Canis lupus familiaris: one gene and its partners. The protein of the gene in region 3 interacts with the protein of the main gene of each other region in a biochemical or structural test. Links are inferred from orthologs where the notes say so. Each region holds a gene or a part of one and is shown on either strand. Other genes may lie near its edges. The genes, in order: ACVRL1, SMURF2, SMAD1 and STUB1.

Evidence for each region.
Region 1: of the proteins of SMAD1 (region 3) and ACVRL1, one has a biochemical effect on the other in vitro, tested with the Homo sapiens proteins (2 studies listed by BioGRID). The link is inferred for Canis lupus familiaris from reciprocal best matches to the Homo sapiens genes SMAD1 and ACVRL1.
Region 2: the proteins of SMAD1 (region 3) and SMURF2 form a complex in vitro, tested with the Homo sapiens proteins (2 studies listed by BioGRID and IntAct, with this or other methods). The link is inferred for Canis lupus familiaris from reciprocal best matches to the Homo sapiens genes SMAD1 and SMURF2.
Region 4: the proteins of SMAD1 (region 3) and STUB1 form a complex in vitro, tested with the Homo sapiens proteins (3 studies listed by BioGRID, with this or other methods). The link is inferred for Canis lupus familiaris from reciprocal best matches to the Homo sapiens genes SMAD1 and STUB1.

The regions. Positions count from the first base shown.
Region 1 is NC_049248.1:43,569,747-43,576,884, reverse strand, and holds part of ACVRL1 (serine/threonine-protein kinase receptor R3), read right to left. Parts: intron 7,041-7,138; exon of another isoform or gene 6,646-7,040; coding exon 6,577-6,645; exon of another isoform or gene 6,051-6,576; coding exon 5,799-6,050; exon of another isoform or gene 5,623-5,798; coding exon 5,411-5,622; exon of another isoform or gene 5,160-5,410; coding exon 5,060-5,159; exon of another isoform or gene 4,719-5,059; coding exon 4,572-4,718; exon of another isoform or gene 4,347-4,571; coding exon 4,071-4,346; exon of another isoform or gene 3,548-4,070; coding exon 3,350-3,547; exon of another isoform or gene 3,337-3,349; intron 1,512-3,336; exon of another isoform or gene 1,253-1,511; intron 963-1,252; coding exon 832-962; intron 1-831. UniProt on the Homo sapiens protein: Type I receptor for TGF-beta family ligands BMP9/GDF2 and BMP10 and important regulator of normal blood vessel development. On ligand binding, forms a receptor complex consisting of two type II and two type I transmembrane serine/threonine kinases.
Region 2 is NC_049230.1:14,542,944-14,550,081, forward strand, and holds part of SMURF2 (E3 ubiquitin-protein ligase SMURF2), read left to right. Parts: intron 1-1,579; coding exon 1,580-1,663; intron 1,664-4,186; coding exon 4,187-4,389; intron 4,390-6,948; coding exon 6,949-7,033; intron 7,034-7,138. UniProt on the Homo sapiens protein: E3 ubiquitin-protein ligase which accepts ubiquitin from an E2 ubiquitin-conjugating enzyme in the form of a thioester and then directly transfers the ubiquitin to targeted substrates.
Region 3 is NC_049236.1:44,383,574-44,391,297, forward strand, and holds the start of SMAD1 (mothers against decapentaplegic homolog 1), read left to right. Parts: upstream 1-2,972; 5' UTR 2,973-3,078; intron 3,079-5,315; exon of another isoform or gene 5,316-5,623; intron 5,624-6,146; exon of another isoform or gene 6,147-6,318; intron 6,319-7,724. UniProt on the Homo sapiens protein: Transcriptional modulator that plays a role in various cellular processes, including embryonic development, cell differentiation, and tissue homeostasis.
Region 4 is NC_049227.1:40,361,860-40,369,629, forward strand, and holds STUB1 (E3 ubiquitin-protein ligase CHIP), read right to left. Parts: upstream 4,604-7,770; 5' UTR 4,491-4,603; coding exon 4,332-4,490; intron 3,776-4,331; coding exon 3,577-3,775; intron 3,485-3,576; coding exon 3,319-3,484; intron 3,259-3,318; exon of another isoform or gene 3,110-3,258; coding exon 3,022-3,109; exon of another isoform or gene 2,904-3,021; coding exon 2,847-2,903; exon of another isoform or gene 2,767-2,846; coding exon 2,650-2,766; intron 2,573-2,649; coding exon 2,447-2,572; 3' UTR 2,199-2,446; downstream 1-2,198. Other genes in the region: GATOR complex protein WDR24, read left to right, coding at 35-388; JMJD8 (jmjC domain-containing protein 8), read left to right, coding at 660-754, 840-1,089, 1,169-1,265, 1,351-1,419, 1,515-1,634, 1,720-1,787, 1,863-1,997, 2,072-2,152; RHBDL1 (rhomboid-related protein 1), read right to left, coding at 6,002-6,273, 6,360-6,420, 6,501-6,601, 6,676-6,788, 6,880-7,028, 7,104-7,328, 7,532-7,693. UniProt on the Homo sapiens protein: E3 ubiquitin-protein ligase which targets misfolded chaperone substrates towards proteasomal degradation.

The DNA of each region.
Region 1 (7,138 bases), on a different chromosome or scaffold from region 3:
ATCCGAGGATTGGGAGATGTGCAAGCCCGGGGGCTCCCCTCTGCTCTCGGCCCGGCGTGGAGGGCACGGACTCTCCCAGCGCCTCCTCCAGCCCCGCCTGGGCCCCCTGGAGGAGTGTCCAGGACGAAGCCATCCCAGGAAGCTCAGTGGCCCCAGAGTGAGCCAGCCTCTCCTCCATCCCAAAACTCAAGCTGGCCTGAGTGTACGTGTGTGTGCCTAGCAGCGCATATATGGGGCTGTTTATGGATAAGCATGTTGTACAGAAACACGCGTGTGTCTATGCACATGTACGTACATACATGTACTTTCCTTCCTTCCGGAAACACTGGTTGAGCACTCATTTGTGTGCCAGCCCGGGGACAGATAACAGGGATATAAGGTGGCAAGGGAGACACGTTCTTCGTCTTCAGAGGGCCGAGAGTCTGGCATGGATGCGCATGCCTGTGTGAGGACGTGTTCGTGCAGAGGCAGGTGCCCGCCTTTATGCGTCCACGTCCACGTGTGTATGTGTCTTATATGCATGTGGAGCGTTTTGAGAAAATAACGAAAACAGCAACAAGTTCAGAGCAAGAAATGCGGCAGAGAGGCTGACTTTTCACCACGAGATAGAAGGTTCTGAAATATCTCCGAGTAACCCAAATCTCGGGGTTCTGCAGGCCAGGGATGTGGGAGGGAGGACCCAGGGAGGTACCCTGGCATCTCTCCTCCGGAATCCATGCAGGTGAAGCAGAGACCTCAGGTACGTGTTCCCGGGGCCAGAACTCCCAGCTGTGAGCCCCTACCCCATGGCATCCCCAGGCCCCCACGCCCCCGCCCCCGCGGAGGCCTCACCGGGTCTGCGGCCAGCCGGTTGGGGATGGTGGGAGTCTGCTGATCAACACACACCACCTTCTTCATGTCCTCGAAGCTGGGATCATTGGGCACCACGTCATAGAAGGGTGGCCTGTAGTCCTCCACGATGCCTGAGGATGGCGGGGGGACGGACAGTCACTCGGCACCCCAAGAAGACCCCATTCCATCCCGAGGAGAGCCTTGCCCCACCTTCTGCCCCAGGGTGCAGAAAACCAGTTGTCTTACCCGTGTAAGACACGGGCCACGATAACATCATCAATATATTTTCAAAGAATAAGGATTACGGCTGTTGATTTTGCGCTCACCAGGTGCCAGGCATTGTGCTATGAACACTTTCATGCTTTATCTCGTTCGTCTTTGCGACAACCCCACGGGTATTACCGTAACCTCTATTTTACAGATGAAGAAACTGATGCTCGAGGAAGTGGAGCCCAAGGTTACACAGCCAGGAAAGGCAGAGTCAAGGCCTGAACTCCTCTCGTCGATTCCTCAGCCGGACCCTGTTCCGGTCTCTCCACGCTGCCTCCCACCCCGGGCCTGGGCACCACTCCCAGGCCCCAACTATCACAGATGCCCGATAAAAACATGGACTGGGCACGTACGCTGTGCCAGGCACTGTCCCGGCCGCACTGCATTAAATCCTCACAGCAACCCCGTAAGTCGCACTACCAGCTCCACTCTATGGACAATGCAACTAAGGCCAGAGGGGTGAGGAAACTCGTCTAAAAGCACACAGGTAGCGCGTGACTGAGCTAAGATTTAAGCCCAGATGGTCTGCACATTCTTGACCTGGGAGCAGTGCCGAAGGGAGGGGAGCTGGCCTGCTCTGGGGGGACGAGGTGGCGCGAGGAGAAAGGGACTTTTACCCAGGTCCATGTAACAGCCACCCCGTCCCAGAGATGGCACAGGCCTCGCTGCGTCCCCTCGCCATCCCTTAGCGGAGCCTTCTCGAAATGCTGCCTGGGGAGCCGCCCACAGCTCAGGCAGGAGAGGCCAGGCCCAGAGAAGGTGCCCCGGGCACCCCCTGCTCCCGGCCTGAGGCTGGGGGCCGTGGCCCCGCAGCCGCAACCTCAGTCGAGCCTCCGCCAGCTGTTCTCCCCGTGGCGGGCTTCCAGGCCGGCCCCTGTGCCGCTCCGGCCCTAATCAGCGCTGCACAGAGGCCTGAGCGTGTCTAATGGGCCTTTAATCAGCGCCGGGGCTGACACCAGATTACAGTGTTTATAATGCGCCACGAATCTGTGTGGGGCTTTCAGAGCTTCCCTCCGCCCCAGGAGCCTGCAGTCAGCCTTCCCGTCGGCCCTGGCCGGCCCAGCCTTCCCTTCCTGCCCGCACCGGTCCCTCCAGGTGTCCCTTCCGCAGCCCCAGTCTTCAGACCCTACACAGGGAGTTCACATCTGAAGGGCCAGGAATCTGAGCCCCTAGAGAGTCTCCCACAGGGACTGGTGACCCCCCGGCCTCCACCTGTTGATGCTGAGGGTAAATGAGGCCTGGCATGGGGCTGGCTCCCAGCAGATGCTCAGGAAATGAGAATGTCCCTGTCCCCAAGGAACAGAGCGCTCCAGTCATATCTTGAGGTCGTTCCCGACCTGTCAGGACCTCCAGCAAGCCCTCCCCAGGGACAGCCGCCACACAGCCTGACGAGTCTCTCCACCTGGTCCAGAATACCACCCGTCATCCATACACGCACCCCCCCAACCCCGGGCCAGGAGGGCACGGGCCACAGGGCTGTCCCCATACTGGCCAGCAGGACTGAGGTCCCCCCACCTGCTCCCGGCCCCTCCAACGGCAGCCAAAGTCCCAAGGAGGCAGCGATAAGCAGGCAGCGCAGACACTCCCAGCGCCTGCATTTCTATAGCAAAGAACCCGTGGCCTCCGCGTCACACCGCCTGGTTTCGGACCCCGGTGCTGCCCCGAGCCAGCTGCAATTCTCTACCTCGGCACCCTCACCTGGGAAGGGGCTGGTCTCGCATTATTACGATAAACTGCCACTGATATTTACTGAGCCCCAGAGTAGCTCCAGATCCCGCCCGAGGATCATCTCGACAACTAGAACCATCTTCATTCTCATTTTCAAGTGAAATTGAGGCACAGGGAGGTTAAGTAACCTGCCTGTGGTCGGGGGGCAAAACCGGGAGCGGAATCCAGGCAGTCTGATTCCCACCGCACGCTCCTGACCACAGGCCGATGCCAGCTTTGCCAGCACGGGATGTCGAGCTAAGATACTACACGGACACAGCAGGACGTCTGGCACACGTTTAGGCTCAAGAAAGCTTAGTTGCTACTGATATTTCTGTTATTACTACTTATCCAAGATTTCACAGCCAGCCTCCCGTCACAGCCAGGCTCACGGATTCAGTCACACCTCAAGGGTCACTCAGTTGAGCCCTCAGGCCACGGGCGCCAGCCGTGGCAGGAAGGCCCCTGTCTCCTGCCCGTCTGCCTGTCCACACGTCCGCCCCGTTCCTCCTTCCCCACCCCGTGCAGGGCAGGCCCTCACCGTTGACAATGGTCCGACGGGCAATCTCCCACAGCACCAGACCAAAGGCCCAGATGTCCGTCCACTTGTAGGACTCGAAGCAGTCGGTGCGGATCTGCTCTTCCAGCACCTCGGGGGCCATGTACCGCTTGGTGCCCACTCGCGGGTTGTTGCCGATGTCCAGGTAATCGCTACCCTGGGAGTGCATCACAGCCAGGCCTGTGGGCACCGGGCCTGTCACTCCTGCCGCTCGCCCGAGCCCACAGACAGGGTGGCCCTGGAGGCTGGGGTGCAGGAGGCAAGGTGGGGATGGAGAGAGGTGGTGGGGCAGAGAGCAGCAGGCAGAGGGACACCTGTCCTGGGGCGGGCGGGGGACCGCAGCCCCCGAGGACGCCTGTCCCAGCGACGCTCTGCTCGCCTAAGCGCTCCCCCAAGCGCCCGAGGACCCAGAGACACGGGAGTAGGCAAGGCCGGCGTTGTCATGCCTGTTTCCCGGGCGGACCCCCGAGGCCTGCTGAGGGGCGCAGTGCAGCCAGCAAAGCCGGGGTGAAACCCGGGGCTCCCGGCGCCCCGCCCCGTGCTCCCAACTCCCGGAACCAGGGTGCTGGGCCGGAGGAGTCGGGCCTGCAGAGCCGCAAGGCAGCCTGTGAGGCCGAGGGCGAGGGCACAAGCCAGCACAAGCCAGCGAGGAGGGGCGCGCTCAAAGCCCGCCCGGCCGCCGCCCCGCGCACCCCGCACTCACCCAGGTCGGCGATGCAGCACTGCAGGTTGCTCTTGACCAGCACGTTGCGGCTTTTGAGGTCCCGGTGGGCGATGGCCGGCTTGCCCTGGGTGCCGAAGATCTCCACGTGCAGGTGGGCCAGGCCGCAGGCGGCGGACACAGCCAGCTTCAGGGCCAGCTGGGGCTCCAGCGTCTGCCTCTGCAGGAAGTCGTAGAGCGAGCCGTGCTCGTGGTAGTGCGTGATGAGCCACAGCTGCGTGCTCGAGTTGCGGGACGTCATGTCCGAGGCGATGAAGCCTGTGGGCAGAGGGTCGGGCGGCTCGGCCGAGGGGCGAGGGCCAGGGAGGCTGGGCCGATGGGGGTCAGGGTCGGGGCTGGGGACAGAGGGTAGAGGGTCAGGGCAAAGCCGGGGCCGCGGTGGACGCTGGTCCGGCTTAGGCCAGGGAGGAAGCTGGAGTCGAGGCCGGAGCCGGGGGCCCCGGGGAGCCCTGAGGACCCCAGCCCCGAGCGCTCCCCACGTGCCTAGGATGTTGTCGTGTCTGAGCAGCACTGTATTGTAGATCTCGGTCTCCCGGAACCAGGACTGTTCGTCCCTCGAAGAGAAGATCTTGACGGCCACGCTCTCGCCGTGCCACAGGCCGCGCCACACCTCGCCATAGCGGCCCTTGCCTGATCCGGTGGCGGGAGGGTGGGAGGAGTCACACGCTGGGCACACGCAGCCCCTGGGCAGGGCATCCCCAGAGGAGCCCCCCACCGCCTTGATGCTGTCCTGACCGCAGCTGCAGAACCCTCGATGAGGTTTCACCCGCTCCAGGCCCGCCCCCACTTGCCTTGCCACCCCCAGCCGCTGCAGAACCATCTAGCCCAGACCCTCTCCAGGCCACCGCCTACCCAGCAGCGTTCCCTTTCGGGCCGGGCCTGCCCGGGACTCCGAGACCAAGAGCTCGCTCACTCCCGCGAGCTCATGGGAGGCCCTGGTCTCATCCCCCCGGGGCTCCCCCACTGCTCACCTACACACTCCACCAGGGCCACCTGCCGTGCCACTGTCCTCTGCACCAGGAAGGGGAGTCCTGAGCCACTGCCTGTGGTACAGTCGCTGTCCAGGAGATCCTAGGGGGCCCGGAGAGGCCGCTGAGAGGCCCCCACCTGGCCCAGCCCGTTTCTTCCTCCTAAAGCTGGGCCCCACTGCTGCGTCCCCCTGCTCCAAACTTGCCCAGCGCCCACCCCCGGCCCCCACTCAGATCTCCGAGTGTTTGTGATTGTGCCTTTCTTGGCTGCTTGTCACTCGGCACCCCCTCTGATTCTGTGGCTCCTGCCTAGCCCCTCCCCTGCCCGTGTCCCAGGTTCCCCCAGGCCCATACCCCCAGCATGCTGTCCCCCTGCTCCGACGACTTCAGGATGAGGCTGGACTCGCCCAGCTCGCTGCGTAGGCCCCGCTGCTTCTCCTGCCTCCGCCGGACATGCCACAGGCCCAGGGCACCCAGGGCCACCAGGGCCACCACGGCCAGCACAGGGCCCAGGATCAGAGGCAGCTGGCCATCTACTTTCGGCTGCTCCGGAGGAATTTGGGTGGCTGGTGGAGGGGGGACACCGAGGCCCAGCTTCCACCAGGCCGGATCCCTCCCCTGACTCAGATCCCAGGGTCCTGCCGTGCACCGCCCCCCCATCCAGGCCAGAGCACAAGGTGGAAGCAGGGCAGGGAGGAAGGGTCTGAGAAGATGGGGAGGGCCTGCGGGGACTTGCACGTACCCTCCAGCACCAGGGACACGTTGTGGTTGCAGAGGGGGCTGTAGCAGCAGTAGTGGTTCACGAACTCGGTGGGGCGCCCCCGGCACAGCTCCTCGTTCAGGTTCCCGCAGCCCCGATGCTCCTGGGGGTGTCGGCCCTCCTCCCGCACCAGCACCACCGTGCACCAGGTCCCCTGGCAGGTAGGCCCCCTGCAGTGTGGGCTCTCACACGTGCAGGTCAGCAGCGGGCCCCGAGAGGGCTTCACCGGGTTGCCTGGGAGACACACTGGAAGCTCAGCGCTGTGGGCCGAACTCCTGGGCGGGGCCCAACACCGATGTCTGACCCATTGCCCTTCCCTCTGACCTCTCAAACATACCCCTGAGGCCGTGGGCCTTTAGTCCCAGCCTCGGATGATCCTTCCTTCCAGAACCTTAGCCTCTGATACGATGATGAGAACCAGGCTTCGTCCTGTCCCAGATCCGAGGACCTTCCCTCCTGGTTCTAGGCCCGGCCCTGGCCCCTGCCCCAACCCTGAGGGCTCTCCTAGGCCCTCCCTGCCAACATCCCCATTCTCTGCACCCCCCAGATACAGGTTCCTACCCTGGAGGCCAGTAGGGCACCAGTCTGTGGGTTCAGATCAGAACATTGAGGGCTGGGGCAGCTGAGCCTGCCTCCCACTCTCCAGCCAAGCTCCTGAGTACCTCCCCAGCTCCTCAAATTCAGCCCCAGCAAGAGCTGACCCCAGCCAGCCCTTCCTCCATCCAGGTCCGTGTCCCCCACCTGCTTCCCTAGTACTTACCCTGGGTCAGGCCCCAGGCCATCAGTAGCATCAGAAGGCCTCTCCTGGGCAGGTCCAAGGTCATGGTCCCTGGAGAGGAGAGGGGGTTACCGTAAGATCCGTGAAATGTGTTCCCCTTGGTGTTTTTAGCCACCGACTGTGGGTTCCTCCCACCCAGAGGAAATCACTGGGAGTTTTGGGGGGGGGGCAGGGAGGCCTCCTCCCTACTCCCTGTGTCTGGCTTTGGGGCGGGGCCTGCAGGGGAAGTCCTGGTTCACTTCCCCATGGAAACCATCCTGTAAGGGGTAAAGGGTGGGGGAGCCATGTTTGAGTGACAGAGAGCTTGGGGGACTCCCAGCTATTTACCCCTGCTCCTGGGTTCAGACTGGAGGACACAGAGGGCACGGGCCGGGGTGGAAGGCACTTGTCTTCAGCAGTCCCCCCGCACCCTGTGTCCTCCGGCTCTTGCCCACCCCCCTCCCCGCGCCCCCTCCCCCAGTCCCCCCACCCCTAGCACTGGCTGCCTCAAACATAAACAGGCTCCTGTCTTCACTTCCTGCCATTCAGGGTCCCGCCAAGCTGG
Region 2 (7,138 bases), on a different chromosome or scaffold from region 3:
GAGGTTTGCGTAGTAAAAATTTTAACATTTATTGAGCATGTGTGTGTCAGGTACTTTTATAAGTACTTTATGTGATACATTAGATCATTTCATTTACATGGCTATGATTCTGGAATTAGACCATCTGCGTTCCAATCCTTACTATTCTATTTACAAGCTTAATGAATTTAATCAGTTTATTTAACTTTTGCAAGCATTGGTTTATATTTACTTATAGAAGAGGATGGTGATAATAGTATACATACCATACACCATTTTGAGGATTAAATGAAATCATTCATGTAAAGCACTTAGCACAGTGTTTTGTATTTAGTAGGTGCTTAATAAATAATTAGCTGCTATTATTACTTCTGCTGCTACTGTTGTCACCCTCATTCATTTCATAGATTAAAAACACTGGGACTCAGAGGAGTTAAGTAAACTTGCCTTGAAGGCCACATAGTGAATGGGAGAGCTGGAACATAGACTTAATAAGCCTTGATTCCAAAGCTCATGCTTTTGATCACTGCTCTGTATCTTTGATACTAATGCTGACATTTTTCTGACTTTATTTTTAACTTTCAAAGTATGTTTAACACCAGTGAGGTGTAGTTTATATATAATAAATTATTTAAAGTATATAATTGGTTGAATTTTTACTTAAATTATTTTTGATACTAAATTTTACATCCAACCCAAGGTATTTGCTCATTTTGTTTAAACTCTTAAAAATCGCCATAGTTTAAGTTTACTTATAGACCACTTTAGCTCCTTATATATATGTTAACTTTTATGGATATGAAGTAGATTATGGTAATTTTGAAGGGGAACTTTAGTATGAAAGAACTAATCAGTATTAAGAGATTACAACAATGTAAGGCTTTGCTTTATTGTACTCCCCCCCCCTTCCATTTGTTTTTATATCACCTCCTTTAAAAATACCAATTCGGTCTATGTTTTATAATATATAGTCTTATTATAAATTAATTGCTAAACACTACATTTTGTGCTTTAATTGTTATCACAGGGCAAGAAAACCTCTTAGCATATCTTTATTTCCTATTCTTTATGGCTCCTAAACCTCTGCCAGGGTTTTGATGGAAATACTAACATTACCACATTTCTATGGTCATTTGCTTATTTTGTTACATGCATTAAAAAGTTACTGAGGAAGTACCATTCTTTTGAGAAAAAAATAATTTGAGTAGGCTAAAAGCTTTAAAGAACTTTTACATACTTTTATGTTAATTTTTAAAATTAGGTGTAATTTTTATTTTTGGTATGGCTTTTTTTCCCCACTAAATACTGGAGAAATTAGTATTATTTATGAGTGTTGACATTATTGAAGAATTCTGAGTTTGACTGATGGAAAATATTAGTCATACCTCAGTGTAAATATTTTAGAAGCTTCAGAATTCCAGAAAAATACATTGTACAGTTTTAAAATAAGTTGAAAATAGTTCCAGTATTCTGTATATTGATTTTTCAGTTTGTCATTCCTGATTTATAACAGCAGATGTCTTCCTGACCCAGTTATTGCACTAAAAACATTCTGTATCCACCTTCTTATTAATGCCTTATCTCTCAATTTTTATTTAAGCTGGGAAGAAAGGCGAACTGCCTCTGGAAGAATCCAGTATCTAAACCACATAACAAGAACTACGCAATGGGAACGCCCAACACGGTAAGAACATACAAATATCTTCCCAGGGTCTGTGCTTTTTGCCTTCCTGAAGTCATCACTTTCTGTTTATCTGTCAGCTTTACCAGATTTCCTTTCTTGGTTTATACTGCTCAAGATCAGTAGATCTTACAGCAAGTGCCATTATTATTTCCAAAAGTAATTTTCAATAAAGATTGTTTAGCAGGTCATCCTGTTATTGTAGCTCTAGGGCCTGTGATGGTACTTAATAAATATTTATTAAATGAGTTAACTGAATAAATTGAAAAGTCATCTTATTTATGGGACTCTTAAAAATTTTTTTGAGTCCGTTATTGAATGGCTGTAACAAACTATATATACTGAATCTTCATTTGTTCAGTCATGTTGGGATATGATTATATTATTATATTACATCTAATAAGGTCTGTGATCAAGATAAGAACCAGATATTCTGAGACCATACGGCAGGCACCTAATTTTGAGTAGGAGGCAGCAGGTTGTTAGAACTTGCAAAGGAAAACTCTGAAAGAGGAGAATTTCTGAACTAAATCTTGAAGAATGTTCAAATTTAACCAGATAAGGGGAAGATAATGAAAAGTGTTAGAGTAGTGGTAACCAAATCGTCATTCATTCATTTCACCAAATCGTCATATGCCAGTTACAATGCTCAGCATTTATGCTATAACAGTGAGCAAGGGAGAAGGGCCTTCACAGAGCTTAATGTGTAAAGACACAATACAAGATAATTTTTGGAAACTCCAAGGAAGTACTTTTTTAAAAAAAATGTTTATTTATTTATGTGAGAGAGTCAGGGTGTGCACGTGGCAGAGATGGGGGTGGAGGGACAGAAGAAGAGGGAGAGAGAATTTCAAGCAAGCCCCATGTTCAGTATGGAGCCAGACTTGGGGCTCAATCTCATGGCCCTGAGATCATGACCTGAGTCAAAATCAAGAGTCAAATGCTTAACCGACTGAGCCACCCAGGCCTCCTGAAAGTACGTTTTAAGTAACTGATGGGACACCTGGGTGGCTCAGCGGTTGAGCATCTGCCTTTGGCTCAGGGTGTGATCCCAGAGTCCTGGGATCAAGTCCCACATTGTTCTCCCTGCTTCTCTCTTTGCCTGTGTCTCTGCTTCTCTCTCTGTGTCTTTCATGAATAATAATTAAAAAAAAAAAGTAACTGTGTCTTTCACAGTAACTGAAACTGAATAGGATAAGTGACTGAATTTCCTTTTTTTTTTAAAGTTAAAAAAAAACTGCTGCCTTTACTCTGTTTGTTCTTCCCCTCTCTCCCTCACCTCTCCCCCACCTCTCTCCTTTTCCTGAGCAGGACTTGTACCAGACACAGAACATCAAATACTTCTCTAAGCTATACCTACTTTTATTTATTGGGGATTCGTTGCTTAACTCATTAAGTCACAGTTTTCTGTGTTATATTACAATCCTCAGGTAAAAGCTTAGCTCATGTTGCTATTTTAAAAAATACTTACTTGAGAGTTGTATTTCTAATATTAAACTGCCAAGGATTTTATTGTAGTCAACCCATTTTTATTGCATCTGAGCGTAAATAAATATGTACTTGTGTCAGTGCTTTAGTGAAGTCCCATTTCCTCCTAACTCATTTAACTAATGAAACTGACTTAATTTCCATGTGTATAAAGTTGATTGTGGTTGTAAATGTTAGTTAAAAATTAATTCTTGATTATCCTCTTATATTTTGGATGCCCTACCATATACCAGAAGTTCTTTGAAGAGTCACACTATCTTCTTTATTCATTCAATAAATATTTATTGAGCTACTTTTATATATATGCCAAGTACTAAGTGCAGGGGATACACACACACATATATGTATATAGTGGGAAAGAAACTAGGTAGACTTTCTTTTCTCAAAGAATATTCTAGTAAGGGAAAACAAACCAAGGGTTCAGATTAAAAAATAATAATAATTGCTGGGCTGAGAAAGTAAGGTGATGGACTTATCAAATGCCTAGTGACTGCCTTAGACTTGAAGGTCAGGAGACCTCTCAGACATTTAAGCTTAAGTTATGATTTGAATGACAAAAAGGAGCCTGGCCTAGGAAGAATAGGAAAAGAAAGCATTCTGGGTGGGAAGAAGAGCTCCTTTCCAGCCCTGAAGGTAAAACAGTCTTGGTTCAAGGCAGGTTCAAGGAACGCAAGAGAATCAGTGTGGGAGAAATGGAGAGGGAGAAAGGTAGAAAGTCAGGTCTGAGAGGTGGGCTGAGGCTAAGTCAAGTAGTGCTTTGTAAAGTAGTACTCACATCTACAAGTATCTCTGGACTTTGTATAAAATGTAATTCAAATCAGTACAAAATGATTTCAATACATAATTGATAGTCTGCCTATTAACATGAGTTTGGTATTTAGAGGCATCAGGATTGCTTTTATTCAGAATTCTTGAAATCATTATATTTGTATTGATCATTCCATCTTGTGACTGTCCCTATGGTACATACATTGTCTGGAGAACTCTACCTCTGAGATCTTGGTTGAGTAACTTTTTTTCCTTGTTACTTTTAAATAGACCAGCATCTGAATATTCTAGTCCCGGCAGACCTCTTAGCTGCTTTGTTGATGAGAACACTCCAATTAGTGGAACAAATGGTGCAACATGTGGACAGTCTTCAGATCCCAGACTGGCCGAGAGGAGAGTCCGGTCACAACGACATAGAAATTACATGAGCAGGACTCATCTACATACTCCTCCAGACCTCCCGGAAGGCTATGGTATGACTAGCAGAGGAAAAATAGAGTATGGTTTACTGGTTTCAATTTACTAAGAAAGCCAGAAAATCAGCTTTAAAGAAGTTATTAATCTGGGTTTAGGATTCTGCATGAAAGTAAATGTGTAAAATCTCCCAACCTTGGAAAACCTGTGAAGTGGTAGAGGACTACCTAACCAACAGTTGACTTGGGCTAGTCATTTAATCTCAGCCCTTTTGCTCTTTTATAATGAAATGAGATGAATGATACCTCTCCTTGTCTCAGAGGTATCATGAAGAGCATATGTGACAATGTGAGGTTACTTGCAAATAATACATTCTATGAAGGTAAGATGGTACTGTTATTGATAATGGTAATCTGAAGTCAAACCTGCAGTGTAAAATTTTCTAGACCTACATATTTAGAAATAACTTCAAAAGTATGTTTCTGATGGTATTTATATCTTTGTATTGTCTATAATTTTGGATTATCTACATGATTTGGGTTATTGTTGTAAATGACTTAGTCACTTCTCTGTATAAAATTTTTATAATCTAACATAATTTCCCAAATTGTAGAATTTCATGCGGAAGATGACTTCTAGTTGGATATAGAACTTTCTGAATTAGTCATAACCTGGGAGTATTCTTGTAGATACTAGGAACTCAGCTGTCTTCTCCTTTCTTGCTAAAAGTATATCAAAATAATTATATCCTTGTCCTCCCAACAGCCTGTAGATAAACCATGTCTGGGCTGATGGTGACACCTAATGACCAGCGTTGGGAATCACCTGATCCAACTTGTTTTATTTTTCCTCTACAATATGTTTTAAACTGTTCTGCAAATGCATGATTCTAGCTTTATTTTTAAAATATATTTTAACTCTTTAATTTAGAAAAAACCCAGTTTGTCCATTAACTGTGCTATACTGCACAGGTTAACTTACGTAGCACAGTGATGAGAGCATGGCCGTGGGAAATAGACCTGGGTTTATATCCTGGCTTTACCACATATTAGTTGTGTGACATTGGGCACATTATTTAATTTCTGTGAGCCTCAATTTTTTATCTTCCATAAAATGGGGAAATTAGTAGTCCCAACTGTGGAGGTTTGTTGCAAGAGAGGAATGATGATTTCATGTAAAATGCCTGATAGTTTCTGGCACAGGAAGCACTTAGTAAACTTTGCTTGTTATTATTAGTGTTCAGACCTTAGAATAAAGTATTTTCTGTCATTTCTCTCTCTCTTTTTTTAAAGATTTTATTTATTCATTCATGAGAGAGAGAGAGAGAGTGAAAGAGAGAGAGAGAGGCAGAGAAGCAGAGACGCAGGCAGAGGGAGAAAAGCAGGCTCCATGCAGGGAGCCCGACATGGGACTCGATCCTGGGTCTCCAGGATCCCACCCTGGGCTGAAGGCGGTAACAAACTGCTGAGCCACTGGGGCTGCCCTGTCATTTCTCTTTAATTGAGATTATAAGGCAAGATGTTTGGAGTGGGAGTGGTTATATTTTTACAATATTTGTGTGATTTGAATTAAAAACAAATTTTGTACAACCAAAACCTAGGAGTAATGTGGCTACCAAGGCTGAAATTATTGCAGCTGTCATATGTCACCAACTTTAAACATTTTTATGTTTATAATTTTAAGAAGCTTAAGTTTAAATAGATTTTATTATAGGTTTATAAGTAGGTTTATAGTAATAAATATTAGCAATAGTATCGTTTTTTATATTGGAATTTTTCATTAGATTTTGTTTAAAGACAGGTGGTTCTGTTGCTTAAAAACACAAATAAATAAAGATTAAAAACTACCACTGAAGAAACTTTTCCACAGATTCCTTCCCTTTGCCCTGGCTTTCTTACTCTCTTCCCAGGGGCTTGGAGTTAATGTCGCCTTTGACCTTTTTCTCCCCAGAATGCATGCTTTTTCTCTGTTCTTCCTCTTTCTAACTTGCTTATTTTTGCATCTTTGTCTATTTTTGAGTATAGAGTGTCTCCCCTTTTAATGACATATTCCATCTTTTTTGCCTCTGAGTCTAAATATGGTAGTCTTGAGAAAACACCTCTCTCAAGAAAAAACTTAAGTTTTGGTATAAAATTAGGCATACTAAACAAGCATTACCAGCCTGCAAACCCTTTGAAAGTTTTTGCAACTCCCTGCAGAATCTCCCTATAGTTGGTTAGCCTCTTCCTCTGAGCTTTCTTTTGTTCCCCTCAGGCTCCACTTTAAGACAAATAAAAGATCATTTCTTCATGTTTCTTTTGTTGCAATACTGGTACTGTGACAATCTTGTTTTCTGTTTTCCATAGCAACATGTTTAGTATTTGAGCCATCTTGTAAATATAGTTGGCTGTTAGATAGCCAGCCTCTGACCCTCATCACCATTTGTAAGATTGTTTCCAGGAGAAAATGTATTGAGTTGAAAAAAAAAAAAAAGATTTATAAGCATTTTTTTGGTAATACAATAGACTGGTAATTTGGAGAGTTTAACTATTGATATAATATCATCCTAGTGTCTATAGCTGTCTTTGATTTGGACATTCTGAATATGTTTTTATTATTAGTGTTTCTTAATTTTACAGAACAGAGGACAACACAACAAGGTCAGGTGTATTTCTTACATACTCAGACTGGTGTGAGCACATGGCATGATCCAAGAGTGCCTAGGTAAGAACATATCCACATACTCTCCACACCGCTGGATACCTATTTTACCTAGGATTTCTTTGATTATTTAATCTTCAACTTATAATGGTTTGTGTGAAAGTTAGG
Region 3 (7,724 bases):
TTGGAATTTTCACAGCGGTTCAGTTAGATATTTAATTCCTTCAGCAAATATTTGAGTGTCTCCTGTGATAGGTCTGTGTAAACTTTGGGCATGCAGTGGGGAAACACTTGACAAGGTTCCCATCCTCATATTACTTAGAAGGCAGGTAGGGTCTTCCCACTGATATTCAAAACAGCGTGCCTAAACACATTCCTAACTATAAGCAGCCAAAAGTTTTCTAGAGGAAAAGGTGTGATGAGAGAATAGAAGAATTTCAACATAAAAAATTCATAATTTGCACTTTTCCCTCAACAATAGTTATCATTGGAACATTCCTTTTTAGTGTGGAATACCACACCAGTGATCCTTGGCCAGCTCATTCCAGGGGAATTGATTCATTTAAATTCACTTAAGGGGTTGCTACACAAACCCTACATGACATTTATTTTTCTATTCAGTAGAACTATCTCTTAACATAAATTTGGGGGGGGTTCATATTTTGCACATTTAGTATTTGCAGCCAATTTTAAGGGCTCACCTTACTGATAAATGATTAGTAGTTGTGTTTTGGTTTTGTTTTCATTTTTTAAGCAGGCTAGCTCAATAAGAGAATTAGTTTGCCTTTGGTGACTTGATACCTCCTTTTCTCTGAGGAGACTGTCCTCTTCCCTGCCTTACCCACCTACTTTCTCTGACCACACCACTAGATCTTGGCATCACCCCAAACTGCCCCAGCTCCATAATTTCAAGCATCCCATTCCCAGACTGTTCCTATTATTTGGGAGTGAGTCTCAACTCTGGCAATTCTTGGACTCCATTAGGACCTTCAATCCATTGATCTTATCACCTTTCCTTTGTCTTCTACTCCTTTATATCCTCACCTCCCTCACTCCCACAGCCCACCCTAGCCTCTCCCCTGCCCACATTCTCTGCTCTCTGACCCTCTTTCCCTCCATCACACTTACCTGCAAAACCCTCGTGCTGTCCCCTCAGGCTGACAAGGCTGTAGAAAAGTCCACAGCCCTGCTGAGTGTTCTTGCTTTGCATTCATGACCATTAACCTCAAATCGGCACTTACTAGCACTGCCTGGCAATCCTACCATATTTGTGTAGTTCATTTGCTCTGAAACTCTCCCAGAAGATAACTCTTTCATATCTGCTGCTCTTTTCCAACCTCCATAATCTCTCCCACCCTAACCATTCTCAGGAAGTAGGGCTCTTCACTAAGATAAGAGAAGTAGTAGAAGAGAACTTCCCTGTGTTCCTGCCTGGGCAGCTACCAGCACAGGTGCACCTGGTCCACACACTGTCTTCCCTCCTGTGTCTAGCTTCTCCCTGCATTGCTGCACTGGCCTCCTGGATAATCCGCGATTGAATGAAGTAGACTCAGGTTCAGGGACTTTGCACTTGTTCCTCACTCTGCTTGGGAGTTTGGTGACCCTCCTCCTAGATCAGTGGCATGCTCCCTGTCTTCCTTCAAGACTTCTTTGTTAGGGAGCTTTGCCCTACCCCTATAGACATAGCACCCACCCCTGCTCCCAATCCCTCCTACCTTGCTTCTTCCTTCCCATGTACCACCCACCACCTAGAATATTTGTGTATTTATTCATTATTTATCTTCTTTGATGAGAGCAGGGATTTTTTATCTGTGTAGTTTGTAACTATATGCCTTGTAATTAGAACAGTGCCTCACACATTTGTTTGTTCGTTCATTCATTCATTCATTCAGCAGGTGTTTAATAAGCTCCTACTGGGTGCCAGATACTGTTCTAGGCTCTGAGAGAATAGCAATGAACCGAACAGACCAAAAGTCCTGTTCTTTCAGCTAAGTAGTTAGGTAGTGATAGGGAAAGAGGATTACAAAACATGTGTGTTTGGGAGGGGTAGGTAAAAGTTTAGATAGAGTGGCCAGGCTGGGTCTTATTGAGAGGGGAACAGTTGGATGAAGACCTGAGAGGGGTGAGGGAAGGCCCACAGCCATGTGGGAAGGGCTTTCCAGGTAGGAGACAGCTACTGTGGAGGCCCTGAGATGGGATTGGACTCAGGTTGCTCCAGGACTTGTGAGGAGGCCAGGTTGACTTGAGGAAGTAAGCAAGGGAGAGAGTAGGAGATCAGGTAGGAAGGAGTTGGGAGCACAGATCAGGGAGGGCTTTGTACACATGGTGAGAACTCTTACTTGAATGAAATGGGGAGCCACGGGAAGGTTTTCTGATACAATGATATCAATACACAAGCCATATTCAAGCTTTGACAATTGTCCAAATAATGTCCTTTTTTGAAAAAAGTATCCAATTTTTTATTGCCGCCATTTAAAGAAATAACTTGCACAAAGGGTAAAATCAAATTGCATAGCATATGCAGTGTGAATAATTGTCATTTGTGGCGATCAGAACTGTACTAAGCAAGGTCATGTGTAGGTTAAAATGTAATAATTTTATAATTTTTATAAAATAAAAAGTGAGTTTTATTGTCATTGCATAGCTTCTCCCACAATCCTGGGTCCAATTAAGGATCACACACTACATTTAGTTGCTGTATCTTTTTAAAACAGCTTTATTGAAACAAAATTCACATGCCATCTAATCTACCCATTTAAAGTGCACGATTCAATGGCTTTTAATATATCCACAGAGTTGTGTAACTACCATCACAGACTAATTTTATAACATTTTTTACACGCCCCCCCCCCCAAAGAAACACGATAACCTTTGGCTATCGCTCTTCCTCGATCTCCCTATCCTCCCAAACATAGGCAACCAACATTCTACTTCCTGTCTCTACAGATGGGCCAATTCTGGGTATTTCAATATGAATCAAATATGTGGGCTTTGTATCTGGCCTCTTTCATGTGATACAATATTTTCCAGGTTCATTCATGCAGCATGTGTCAGTATCTCATTCTTGTTAATGACTGAATAATGTTCCATTGTGTATACAGCACGTTCTATTTACCAGGGAAGGGTTTTGGGCAGAGGAGTGACCTGATCTGAGTGGCATTTCACAAGGCTCAGGCCAGCTGTTGTTTCAAGGAGCAGAGAATGATGAACTGTGTCAAATGCTGCTTTTAGGGAAAATAAGATGAGGCCCAAGACTTGACCAGTAAGTGCTCAAATAGCTTAACAAAGAGATGAACTGAAATATTCTGATCTATAATTTACAAAGTGTTGTATGTCTTATGGGGCTTGTTGCATTTCTTTTGAATAATTAAACATGGAATGCAGAAATAAATTAAGAAATATGAATTTAAAATAGACTGTGGACATGTAAAGGTGCATGAACAATTGGAGAGTACCATTAACTTCCTTCGGTCTTTGATATTTTCTTTATACTGGTGGTAATGGTTCTTTGAGTTCGTGAGAAATTTATTCCTCAGAGTAATCATTCCTCTCTAAACATAACTCAACATTATGGTAATTATCCAAGATTTCATGCCAGCTTCCAGAGAGCTAGCCAAGGGAAAAATTAATTCTTACAAAAGATATGTTCGAGGTCTATGCAGATCAGGTTAGATGAGAGCCAGTCTGTTTTTATTTTAGGGGGTTGGTGTCATATAAAAGATTATAGAAATCGGATCAAAAGTTGAGTTCCATCCCAAAAAAAAAAAAAAAAAAAAAAAAAGTTGAGTTCCACTGTGGCATCTGCCATTACTTAGAACCACTACGTTACCCACTCAAGTCATCACATACTGAACTGGCCCAAAACACAAAACAGCGATACGGGTGGGTGTAAGCAGATGCAGCAGCACTAGGCTATCCAGTTCTGGGTACGTGCAACTTGTGGGGCGTGCAAAAGTGAAGGGCAATGGAAACTGGACATGAAAAGGAGAGGTCTGAAAGAGAATGGTCAGAAACGCGCCCCGCGGGTGCGGTGGTAGCGTTCGGAGGGCGCGGTGGGCGGGTGATGAGTAGTTCAGAAAATAAAGACTAAACCTCGAACTTCACGTGAGGATAACGCACCAAGCCCGCTCCGCCGGGACTCCAGGAAGCAGGGGAAAGAAGGCTGGTTTCTTTCTCCTTGGAGTCAACGGGGCGTGGGGCCGGGGGCGGGCTGGGGGAGGCGGGAGCAGGGAGGTGGCCGGCCCCGCGGCCCCGCGCTCGCGCTCAGCGGCCGGGAATTTGGAGAGGATCCCTGGTCGCGCGGCGGCGGCGGCGGCGGCGGCGCGCGGGTGCGCGTGTGAGCAGGCGGGCGGGCGGGCGAGCGAGCGAGCGTGCGGGCGGGCGGGCGAGTGCGCCGGCTGTTGGCAGCCGCCGAGTGGAGGCTGGGCGGCTCCGACTCCCTGACGCCAGCGCGACCAGATCAATCCAGGCTCCGGGAGCGGGCGGGCGGGCGGAGGAAGCGGAGGCCGAGCGGCCGAGCCCGGGCCGAGGCGCGGGGAGGCACCCTGCGAGCGCAGCGCCCCGCCGGCCGGACCGGGGCCGCGGGACCCCGCTCGTCCGGCCCCTCGTGCGCCCGCGCGGACGGGCGCGCCGCCAACCCGGTAAAACGAAACAGACCCGCACCCAACTTTCTCCTTGGCCGCGTCCCCGCCCTCCTTCGGCGCCCGGCGCTTGCTTTCCAGCGCCGCCGCCGCCTCCCGTGGGGTGAGCGCGGGGCCGGTGACGCGGGCCGCGGCGGGCAGGGGGCTCTTCCCCGCGCGGGGCGGGCCGGGCCGGGCCCCCCCCATGATGGCGCCTCCCGGCCGCGCCGAGGAGCGGACCTGCCACCGCCTCCCGCTCCCGCTCCCGCTCCCGCTCCCGCTGTGGCGCCCGGCCGGCCAGGCGGGGCTCGGCGCCGTTCTCCTCGCGTCTTTGTTGGCTCAGCCGTGGGGAAGCCGCGCTCCTCCGCCCGAGCCTCTCCCCGGCGCCGGCCGCCGCGGGACCTCCCCTCCCGCCCTCTTTCCCCCTCCGCAGCCGGGCCGAGGCCCGTGCGCGCCGCCCGCCGCCCGCCGCCCCATTGTGTCCCGCCGGCCCGGGCGACCCTTGCGGGAGCTGGGGGACGGCCGCGGGGCGCTGCCCTCCGCGCGGTGGGCGCCCGGCCGAGCGGGGCCGGCTCCAGGGGCCCCCGGTGCCCCGCGCGCCTCCGCATCCCGCACGGGGGCCTTTCCCTGCCCCAGCGAGCCTCTTGGGGGTCGAGGTCAAGGAAAGTTCGCACCGAAATTCCCTCTAATTTATTCAAAGGCTTGGCGGCGGCGCGTATTTTTTTTTTTTTTTTTTCCCCTCTCTCTTCCGCCTACACCCCGTGCGCCTCCAAGTGTCGTCTCATTCCTTTCCCTTTACCGGATTCGATTGCCTCACTGCATGTGTATTTGTGAGTTCGCTGTTGAACAACTGTTCATTTACTCCGCTCGCCGCCTTTGTTAGTGTTCCTCGGGCTCGTTGCTGGAGGAAGGTGGGGGGAGTGGGTGTGAGCGAGACCGACGTGGGCTTGTTTTTCTAGTTGCTTTATACACATGAGGGCTTAAAGGGAGAACGTTTCCTTGATGCACTTTAGGAAGGGAGGAGGAACAAACGCCTGCCGGATCCCACAACTACAGTAGCTGCGGCTTTTGTTTATTTTGAGGCTCAAACGATTGTTCCATCTACTGTGCAAGATAGCCCGCGAGGCGCTTCCCTTCTGAAAATCGAGGCACGTCTCCGAACCATCTTCTTGAGAAAGCATCGTTTTCGTGAGTGCTGTGGCAACCGGCCTTCCCTACCCCCCCCCCCCTTCCCTTCCTGTTCTCTTCTTTTCCATTGTATCCGAAGTTTCAAAGCATGTGGAATGATACAGAAGTTGCATGATGTCACTCTGTCATCCTGTTGCTGGAACTCTTAGCACCTAAATCACAGAATGCCTTCGTTTCAGAGCATTTCTTGCTCTCCTTGCCCGTGGTGATAACATGCTTAACGTTCAGTAACACGATAAGAAAACTGTTCTCGGCCCGTGTTGACTTTTCATGTTGTTTATAATTACCACTTTACGTTTTATTGGAAGTAGGTGAGCTGTATTGGAACCACTGTTTCAAAAAAAAAAAAAAATAATAGTGACAGGGCCCATGTTCAGGGACCCAGTATTTTCAAGTAGTATAAATATTTTGCATCAGTGTTCTTCTGATGTAGGTGCCAGGCCTACCTATGCTGAAATGATTAAGGTGATTGTCGTACTCCCTCTCTCTTTCCCATTTGCAGTTACTTGATATTTCTCTGCAGGTGGTGTACATTTGTGTGATACTGCAATTCTTAGGAAACTGTAACCAGGGTCGTGAGAGATGATTTTCTAGAAGTGGGTGATGCCAGAGCCTCTGGAGGATCCAGACAAGATCGGGTTTCTTCTGAGTGTAGGGATTTGTCCTTGATTTAGTTTTGACCCCTCCAACCATAGGTATGTAACCAAATACATTTTTCCTTTTTGCAGTATCCATTGGTTTTATACCCTTGAAGAGTGGATGACCTTTGCATTTTAGAGAAATGACCATTTTATAGGTATTTGAAAATGTTAACCTCTTATATTCTTGGAATTTAAGTAAATTTTTCCCTACGAAATTCATTGAAGCATTATGTCAGTCTCATTCCCCCCACCCTCATACATTTGTTAGTTAAAAACTAAATTTCAGTTTGTGATTCTGATTTATAGTAATTCTGGGTTAAAGATAAAATTTAATGACTTGGTTAGATAAGAAAAAGAAGAAACTGGGGTGTAATTAGATGACTATGTTTAAGCTGTAGTCACCTACATAATCAAGGCCAAGTTGTGTGTGTATAAAAGATCTCATTTGTGTAGTCTTACAAGGCTAATGGAGGCATCATTGAGGCTTTATAAATAATGTAAGTTGTGTATAATGTAGAGTCTCCAGAGACAGCAGAGAAAGCATCATTACCAGCCTTTTCAACCTGCTTGAGATCTTAAATTGATTTACAGCACTGAACTGGTGCAAAATGATACATCAGGATGACATGGGGTCAGCCTGTAAAAGTCTATGATGTCAGCCTATTAGTTCAGTCATCATAATTAAACCATATTACAGGGGCAGCTAAGCAGGAGTCTGGCGTTATACTTCAGATATGGGTGGTACATGGATTTTGTTTATAGTGGAAAGGCTGAGCTGACCAGGAACCCAAGTGTTTCTGAAAGAGGGAAAGGCTTACAGAACTCCGAATTTCTGAAGAAATTTAAAATAAATGAAAGGATGTTCAATCTGCATTGTCTAAGTAGCTTTCCGTTTGGTAGTGGAGAAACAGATGCATTGGGGGTTCTGATAAGAACTTTTGCAGCTTTTATACTGAACCAGGCTTCATATGAGCTTGAATTTAACGTGACCTTAGGGACCTTCTAAAATATCAGAGGACCACATACTTCTTATCTCTGGTCCTGTCATTAGCACTGAGTTGCACTGTATTGATGTATCAGTTGGCATGTTTTTTCTTAACTAGCCACAGTTACCAGGTCTCCACTGAAAGCAAAGATATTTGAATTGAACATAGGAACAATTTAGGAAAAGAAGACTCTTGTTTTTTGTTGAAATTTCTGGCAATCTTTATTCAGTTTATGGGTCATCTGGGGAGGTACTATCCAATAAAACAGCTATAGCTACATATCAGTATTTAAATGTTAGTAAAATTAAAATTTATTTTCTCAGTAGAACTAGCCACATGTGGCTCGGGGCTACCATATTGGACAATGTATGTGGAACATTTTCGTTATCACAGAAGGGTCTGCTGGACAGGGCTGCTCTAGGACTTTTACTTCTTTTCCTTTCTACTCTTTCAGCTACTTCTCTGCTTACTACT
Region 4 (7,770 bases), on a different chromosome or scaffold from region 3:
TGACCTCCGGCCTCCTTCCCTCCCGCCGCCCCAGGAGCACTGGTACACGTCCTACATCGACTTGCTGCAGCGCTTCTGCCTCTGGAACGTGTCCAACCAGGTGGTGAAGCTCAGCACCAGCCGCGCCATCAGCTGCCTCAACCAGGCGTCCACCACCCTGCATGTCAACTGCAGCCACTGCAAGCGGCCCATGAGCAGCCGCGGCTGGGTCTGTGACCGCTGCCACCGCTGCGCCAGTATGTGCGCCGTGTGCCACCACGTGGTCAAGGGGCTGTTCGTGTGGTGCCAGGGCTGCAGTCACGGCGGCCACCTGCAGCACATCATGAAGTGGCTGGAGGGCAGCTCGCACTGCCCGGCGGGCTGCGGCCACCTGTGCGAGTACTCCTGACCGCCGCGGGCGGGAGGCGCTGGGCGTGGGGACCGAATAAAGGAAGCAGGAGCCGCAGTGTGAGGCCGCCCGTCACACGCGTCACCCGCGCGTGCGCTCGTGCCGCCAGCTCGATGCTGGGCGGCTCCGCTGGGTGGGCGGTGTCGTCGCCATGGGAACCCGCGGCGGCCGCTCCGCCTTCCGGGGCGGGCCAAAGGAGCTGCTTCCGGGGCGGGCCGGGCGCTGTTGCCACGACAACGAAGCTCCCGGCAGGCTTTGCGGCGGCGGGCTCATGGCGCCGGGGGCGCGGCCACTGCTGCTGTTGGCGGTCTGGACGCTGGCGGCGCCGGTGCTGCGCGGCGCCGGGGACACGGGCGACGGAGGGTGGTGAGCGGCGCGGGCGGGCGGCCGGGACCCGCGGGCGGCCGGCCGGGTTGGGGGGGCGGCGGGGCGCTGACGGCCGTGCCCGTAGGCAGAGGCGCGGGCCCGGGGCCCCGGCCGCCGTGGCGGAGGAAGAGCGCTGCGCCGTGGAGCGCCGGGCGGACCTCAGCTACGCCGAGTTCGTGCAGCAGTACGTGCAGCCCCCACACCCGCCTCCCGCCCCGGCCCCTCCGCCCGGCCCCCGCGCCCCTCCCCCGAGCCGGTGCGACCCGCTGCGGCCCCGCCCCTCCAGGTACGCCTTCTCCAGGCCCGTCATCCTGCAGCGGCTCACGGACAACTCGGTGAGTGCAGCGCCCCGCCCGGCCTCTCCACCCGCGCCGGCCCGCCCTTGAATCTTCTCCCCACCCCACCCCACCCCAGCGCTTCCGGGCCCTGTGCTCCCGAGAACGGCTGCTGGCCTCGTTCGGGGACAGCGTGGTCCGGCTGAGCACCGCCAATACCTATTCCTACCGGAAAGGTGAGCTGCCGCGCGCCGCCGCCCCACCTGCTTGCCGGCACTTGCAGGCGGTCTCGGCCAGTCCTGACCAGGCCCTTTCCTACAGTGGACCTGCCCTTCCAGGACTACGTGGAGCACCTACTGCACCCCCAAGACCCTAGCTCCCTGGGCAACGGTGAGTAACACCTGGTTGGCCGTGGGCTGGGCTGGGGGCATGTGGACAAGCACAGGTGCTGAGACCCGGGCGCCTCCTATATTCTGTGTTGGCAGACACCTTGTACTTCTTCGGGGACAACGATTTCAGCGAATGGGCCTCACTCTTCCAGCACTACTCCCCGCCTCCGTTTAGTCTGCTAGGTACCACTGCTGCCTACAGCTTTGGAATCGCAGGTGGGTACCCTGCACGTGGCATGCCGGAGGAAGGGGATGCGCCAGGTGGGGTTGCGTCAGCAAGTGCTCCTAACTGACCCCACAGGAGCTGGTTCTGGGGTGCCCTTCCACTGGCACGGGCCCGGGTTCTCAGAGGTGATCTACGGCCGCAAGGTCAGCACGGGCCGGGGCTGCGGCTTGGGGCTTACTGCCTGCCAACATGGAGTGACGGGCTGATCTCACCCTCAGCGCTGGTTCCTGTATCCCCCTGAGAAGACACCTGAGTTCCACCCCAACAAAACCACACTGGCCTGGCTTCAGGACGTGTACCCAACCCTGGCACCATCTGAGAGGCCCCTGGAGTGCACCGTGCAGGCTGGTGAGGTCAGTAGGTGGCAGGAAGGGGTCAGGCTGGATCACACGCCACCAGCTAATCCTTGTGCCCCACCCTCCACCAGGTGCTGTATTTCCCTGACCGGTGGTGGCATGCTACGCTCAACCTGGACACCAGTGTTTTTATCTCTACTTTCCTCGGCTAGGTAGAGTGGGCGGCTGGTGAGCCCAGCACACACCAGCACACACCCCTATAGTGCTCACAGGTTTTATTACAGGACAGTGGTGGCAGCAGCCCACCCTCACCTGCTGTTTCTGGCCCAGAAGGGGGTGGAGGTGGGGCTCATGGTCCAGCAGCAGAACTGATGAGGGTGGGATAAGGGACACCAGGGCAGGGATCTAGGGACACAAACTATGTACAGGAACTGGGAGCTACTGCCCCAAAGCCCACCTGGGCCAGGGTACTAGGCAAGGCAGGCAGCTCTGGCACTCGCCTGGCCTCAGTAGTCCTCCACCCAGCCGTTCTCGGAGATGAATGCATCAATGACCTCTTTCATGGCCAGGTTGGGGATGAGCTGTTCCTGGGTCAGGGGGCTCCGGGTGACAGGGTCAAAGTGGCCCACACGCTGCAGTGTGCAGTGACAGCAGGTCAGAAAGTGCTCAGTGGTTACGGGCCCTGCTCCCCACTCTTGTTGGCTCTCACCTGCAGGTGTTCCTCAATGTCCTTGCGGTCGTAGGTGATGCCACTAGGCGTGATGCACGGCTCCCGCATAAGCTCGAAGCTGATCTTGCCACACAGGTAGTCCGGGATGTCTCGCTTCTGTGGCACATGGAGTCAGGTCAGGCACCAGGATGGGGACCCGGCTCCGATTCCTGCTACCCAGAGGACAGACAGCTTACCTTTCTCTTCTCGTCCACCTGGGAGAAAAGCTCATCCATGTCTGCTAAGTACTTGTCCTGCGGAGAACCAAGCAGCTACGCGTGGGCCAAATGCCCCTTCCCCCTCCCCCGGGCACCCTCCAGTCACAGGCACGCAAACACGCACACATCCACACGTGGGCTGGGGCACCCTCACGTGCTTGGCCTCGATGCAGGCCTGCTGGGCCCGGACGTGGCCATCATCCTCATCACCCTCGTGGTTCCGCTGGCATTCTTCTAGCTCCCTGGGGGTCGACCAGGAGCTAGTCAGGAATGGGTCTGGCCAGAAGAGATCACACTCCACCCCAACCTCAGGCTTGTTCAGGTCTCTCTTCCCTCCAACTGCTCGCCAGTGCTGGCCTTCAATAAACACTTGTGTTCTTGACTCAGTTAACCCCAGAGTGCTGCCTTGGGGGTGGGTGGGGCCCTGGAGCCTGCCGCTACCACAGCCCACCTCTCCCGCTCGGCCACAATAAGCCGAGTGAGGTAGGAGTGCAGCTCATTCTCCTGGTGGATGCGCCGCTCCTCGATGCTGTTCCAACGCTTCTTCTTGGCGATGCGCAGAGCACTAGGGATATCATCCCCGAAGTTGAGCCGCTGCTCCTTGGCAAGGTTGTAGGCTGGGGGAACAGGGGCTTCAGGTCACCTTCTGGCCAGTCCATCCACCTGGTCCCAGGCGCCCCCGCCGTCCCCTGACAACCTGTAGGCCCACCTCGCTGCAGGTTGGCGATGGCCTCATCATAGCTCTCCATCTCTAGCTGGCACTGCCCCAGGAAGAAGTGTGCCTTCACAGACTGCCCGTCCAGTTCCAGAGCCCGCCGGCAGTCAGCCAGGGCCTGCTCATGCTGCTGCATCTTCAGATAGCACAACGCCCGGTTGGTGTAGTACACGGCCACCAGAGGATTCCGGGTCTGGGGACCAAGGCCAGGCCAGCCAGCATGAGGGAAAAAGCTCCGTGGGCCCTGTCCTAGGCCCTGTCCTGGTCTGGGAGCCCGTAGCTAAAATCCAGACACTAGAAATTTCTCAGCTTGGAAGCCTCTGCTCAGCTAGGGCTGTAGAGTGAACTCCCGGTCCTCAGGCCTGCGCTAGCCCACCCTCTCGGGGCTCCCAGGAGGTTTTGTAAAGGTGAGGTTCCCGGACCTGAGGAGAGCCCCAGCTTCGGGCCTGGGCTTCTCAAGGGACAGGAACCCTGGTCCCGGCCTGGGGCCTCGAGCACCCCTCAAGCTCCCACCCGCCCCTCCAGCAACCAGCACTGGCTCGAGAACCGCGCGGCCTTGGCTCGACTGGAACATGATCAGCACCGAGTTCTCGGGGCCCAAACGCCCCCGCGGGCGAACCAAGACCGCCCCGAGGGTCCGGCGGGAGCGGCGGGGCAGGGGCTCCGGGGAGGACGCGGGGCCGCGAGCCGGGCCCCGCCCACTCCCCCGCCCGGACGCCGGCCCCCTCCCCCGGCGCGGGCGCACTCACGATGGCGCGGCCGTAGCAGGCCGCCGCCTCCGGGTACTTGCGGCCCACGAAGAGCCGGTTGCCCTGCTCCTTGAGCTCCTGCGCGCTCGGGCTCTTTTCGGGGCTTCCGCCGCCGGCGCCCAGCCGCGCGCCGCCCTCCTTCTCCTCCTTGCCCTTCATAGCGCCGCGCGGCACAGCCCGGGCTTCGCTCCCAGGCTCCGCGTCTGGCCCGCCCTGCGCCCGCAGCCCGAGCCCGCAGCCCGAGCCCGCGATCCGCTCGGGCCCGGTCCAGCGATCCGCCACCGGAACTTCCGGCCGCGCGGGGCGGGGCCAGCGGCACGGGCGGGGGCGCGCCTGCGTCCGACGGGCCGCGGAGGCAAGGGGGGGCGGGACCGACTGGGCGCATGCGCTCGAGGGAACGCGACCCGCGACGTCGGACGTCCGGGACAGCGACAAGCGCGGCCCCGCCCCGCCGAGGCCCCGCCCCGCCTAGGCCCCGCCCCGCCGAGGCCCCGCCCCGCGCGGACTAGGCGGCCGCCGGCTGGCTGCGCGGCCGTGGGGCCTTGAGGGCCGCGGGGCTGCGGTCCTGGCGCCGCACGGGGAGGTGCCGCGGCCGCCAGGGACGGCTGGAAGCTCTGGAGCGGTGGCAGGACGGCCGAACCCCGCTGCCCGAGGCTCCGTCGCCGCCCTCCCCAGGCCCCAGAGGGCTCCCCGCGGCCACCGGGGGCGGAGCGGAGGAGCACGTGGCCGCCGGCGTGGAAGCGGGGGGCGGGGCTCCGGGTGAGGTTCCCCCACCCACCCCGCCCAGCCCACCTCGGCCCGGCCGGTGAGTGTCGTCGCCTGCCGGGGGGCCCGTGGCCGTGACCCCGGGGGTGCGCGGGAGCCGCCTGCCCAGACGCTGGCGAGGCTCGAGCCCCGGCTGCAGGAGCTCCGAGGCCGCCGCGCGCCCGCCGCCCGCGGCCCTGGGGAGGCGGGGTGCATGCGGCAGGCAGAGCCGGCCCGAGCGCCGCATGGCCTGGGCCCGGGCCCCCGCCCCCCTCTGTCCCCGCCCGGGCGGGACCTCAGGCCCGGGACCCCTCCCCGCGTGGGACCCGCCCCAGCCTGGCCACCCGCAAGGACACCGCGCCGGCCCAGAAGCGCAGAGAAGCCAGGCTGGCTGAACCCTGCTGGGCCCGGGCCACAGGGTTCTCGGAGGGCGGGCGACCGGCTGGGCTGCAGTCTCCGCTGCCTGTGAGGACCCCAGCTCCTCGCACACCCGCCACACGCGCACGCCTGGTTTGGGTGCAGGGAGCACCGGGAGAGCTTGGGCTGCCGTGCGAGGGCCGGGCGGGCCCCTGGGGCCAGCCCCCAGAGCCCACTGCAGCCACCTCCTGCTGTGTAAAATATTTATTCATTCTCCAAAAAGGCTCAGACCGCAAGTTGTGGGGGAGAGGCAGGGGCAGGGTCTCCCTAGGGCCACACTTGGGGACCTCCACTGCCTGGCCAGGCAGTCCTATGTCCCCAGGCCTGGGAGGGGGTGGCCAGGGCTGATGTAAGGCTTGGCCTGGACTCAGTGGGCTGCGAGGGCCACCTGCCCCTACGGAGGAGAAGCAGTCTCAAGGTGTACATTCACAGAGGGCAGATGTGCAGGCTCGCCTGGCAGCCAGCCCACACACACCAGTGCCCTGACCCATGGGGCCCTGGGGAGCCCATCAGGGTGGTGGAGGGATGTGGGCGCCTAGCAGGTCGTAGGCGAAGACGTTCCAGAAGATGGCAAAGAGCAGGAAGGTGCCATATGCGAGCAGCACCACCCACCAGCCACACTGGTCCCGCAGGCGTTCCTCATAGCTGCGCAGGATTGTCAGGCCCATGCTGACTCCTACCACTGCACCTGCCAGGTGTGCCATGAAGCTGGGCTGGGGGCCGGAGGCAGGCAGTGGCGGGGAAAAACGGAGCCACACGGCCCGGCCCACTTCAGAACTCACTGCAGAGAAAGGTGGCAGGTGGGCAGGTGGGAGGCACTCTGGCCTGAGGCTGAGGCCCCTCTCAGCCCCCTGACCCCGTACTTACTGCACACCAAGGCCAGCACCATCCTCAGCAGCTTGTAGGGACACCTCATCCCAGCCCAGTTCTGATGGGGCGCGAGACACAGGCTGTGAGGCAGGCCTTATGGGCCCCTCCCCACACCCGCCCCGCTGTCTGCCCTATTACCATGACGACGTTGGCCAGGTGTGCGGAGCACAGGGCGTAGACCCCACCAGAGCCCCCCACCACAGGGGCCCGCATGTCGGTAATGGAGACAGTCAGGGAGCCTGTGTGAGCAAAAGGAGAGCCGTGAGCAGGAGGCTCGCCGGTGCAGTGGCCGGGGGGCGTGTGCCTGCCTTACCTGCCAGCACCCCGGCCAGGTAGAGCAGGCTGATGCGGAGCAGGCCGTGCACCATCTCCAGGGGCACCCCGATCATCAGCTGCAGGAGCGCGTTGAAGCCCAGCTGCTCCAGGCTGGCCATGTGGGTGTAAACAGATGTGAGGTTGGTGGCGGCGGACCACCAGCCCTACCCGACGGGGACACCAGAGGCGGGCCCCCGCTCACCCAACGTGCATGAACATGTAGGTGAGGAAGCGCCAGGCTCGAGCGCGGTGGCCGGGGTGGTACACCAGGGGGCTCTTCATGTACTCGGGGTGGTAGGTCTGCAGCACCCACTTGTTGAGACGAGCCCCATAGCACAGGAACACGATGATCTGGGGGAGAGGGGCGTTAGGGCTGGGCTGGGCCGGGCGCGGGGAGGCTCCGGGGTGGCGGGCGGGTAGGCACACCTGGGCAAGGGTGACTGAGGCCATGAACACGGGGGGCGGGCAGCTGCGGTGCCGGTAGAAGTACCAGTGGCGGTCCACTTCTCGGGGCAGGATCTCGTAGGCAACGTAGCGCACGAACCGCTTGTAGACACCCAGGCCCGGCTGGTCCAGCAGCCCGGCCCGGGGCAGCGCCCTCTGTCCGTTGGCGATGGCCCGCTTAAAGCTGCTCGAGCGTTTACTGCTGATCTGGGGGGGCGCTAAGCATGGGCCACCGTGCTCCCTGCGCCCCGAGCCACCCTGCCCCCTTGCTACCCCCCCCTGCTCCTGGTGGAGGCTGAGTCCCCGCCCCCGTCCACACCCCTCCCAGGTGGGAAGGGCAGGCGTGGGGGCTGCCTGCCCACCCGCTCGGCCGGGCCCCTACCCTGCCGTCCACCCACTGTGGCACTGACCAGGTCCACCAGCTCCTGGTAGCAGACCTGGCCCCGCTCGTTACTCTGGGCCAAGGCCACCAGCATGTCCAGCTTGGCCGGGTCCAGGGGCAGCTCATGGCTGTGCACCAGGCCGGTGAAGGTGTCCGCACCGATGAAACCTGTGTGCTCAGGGTCCAGCTGCTGGGGTCGGGGGGCGGCCATCGGCCAAGGCTTGAGGTGGGGCGGCCTCGGGGCCGGGCCAGCAGAGGGGCGGGCTC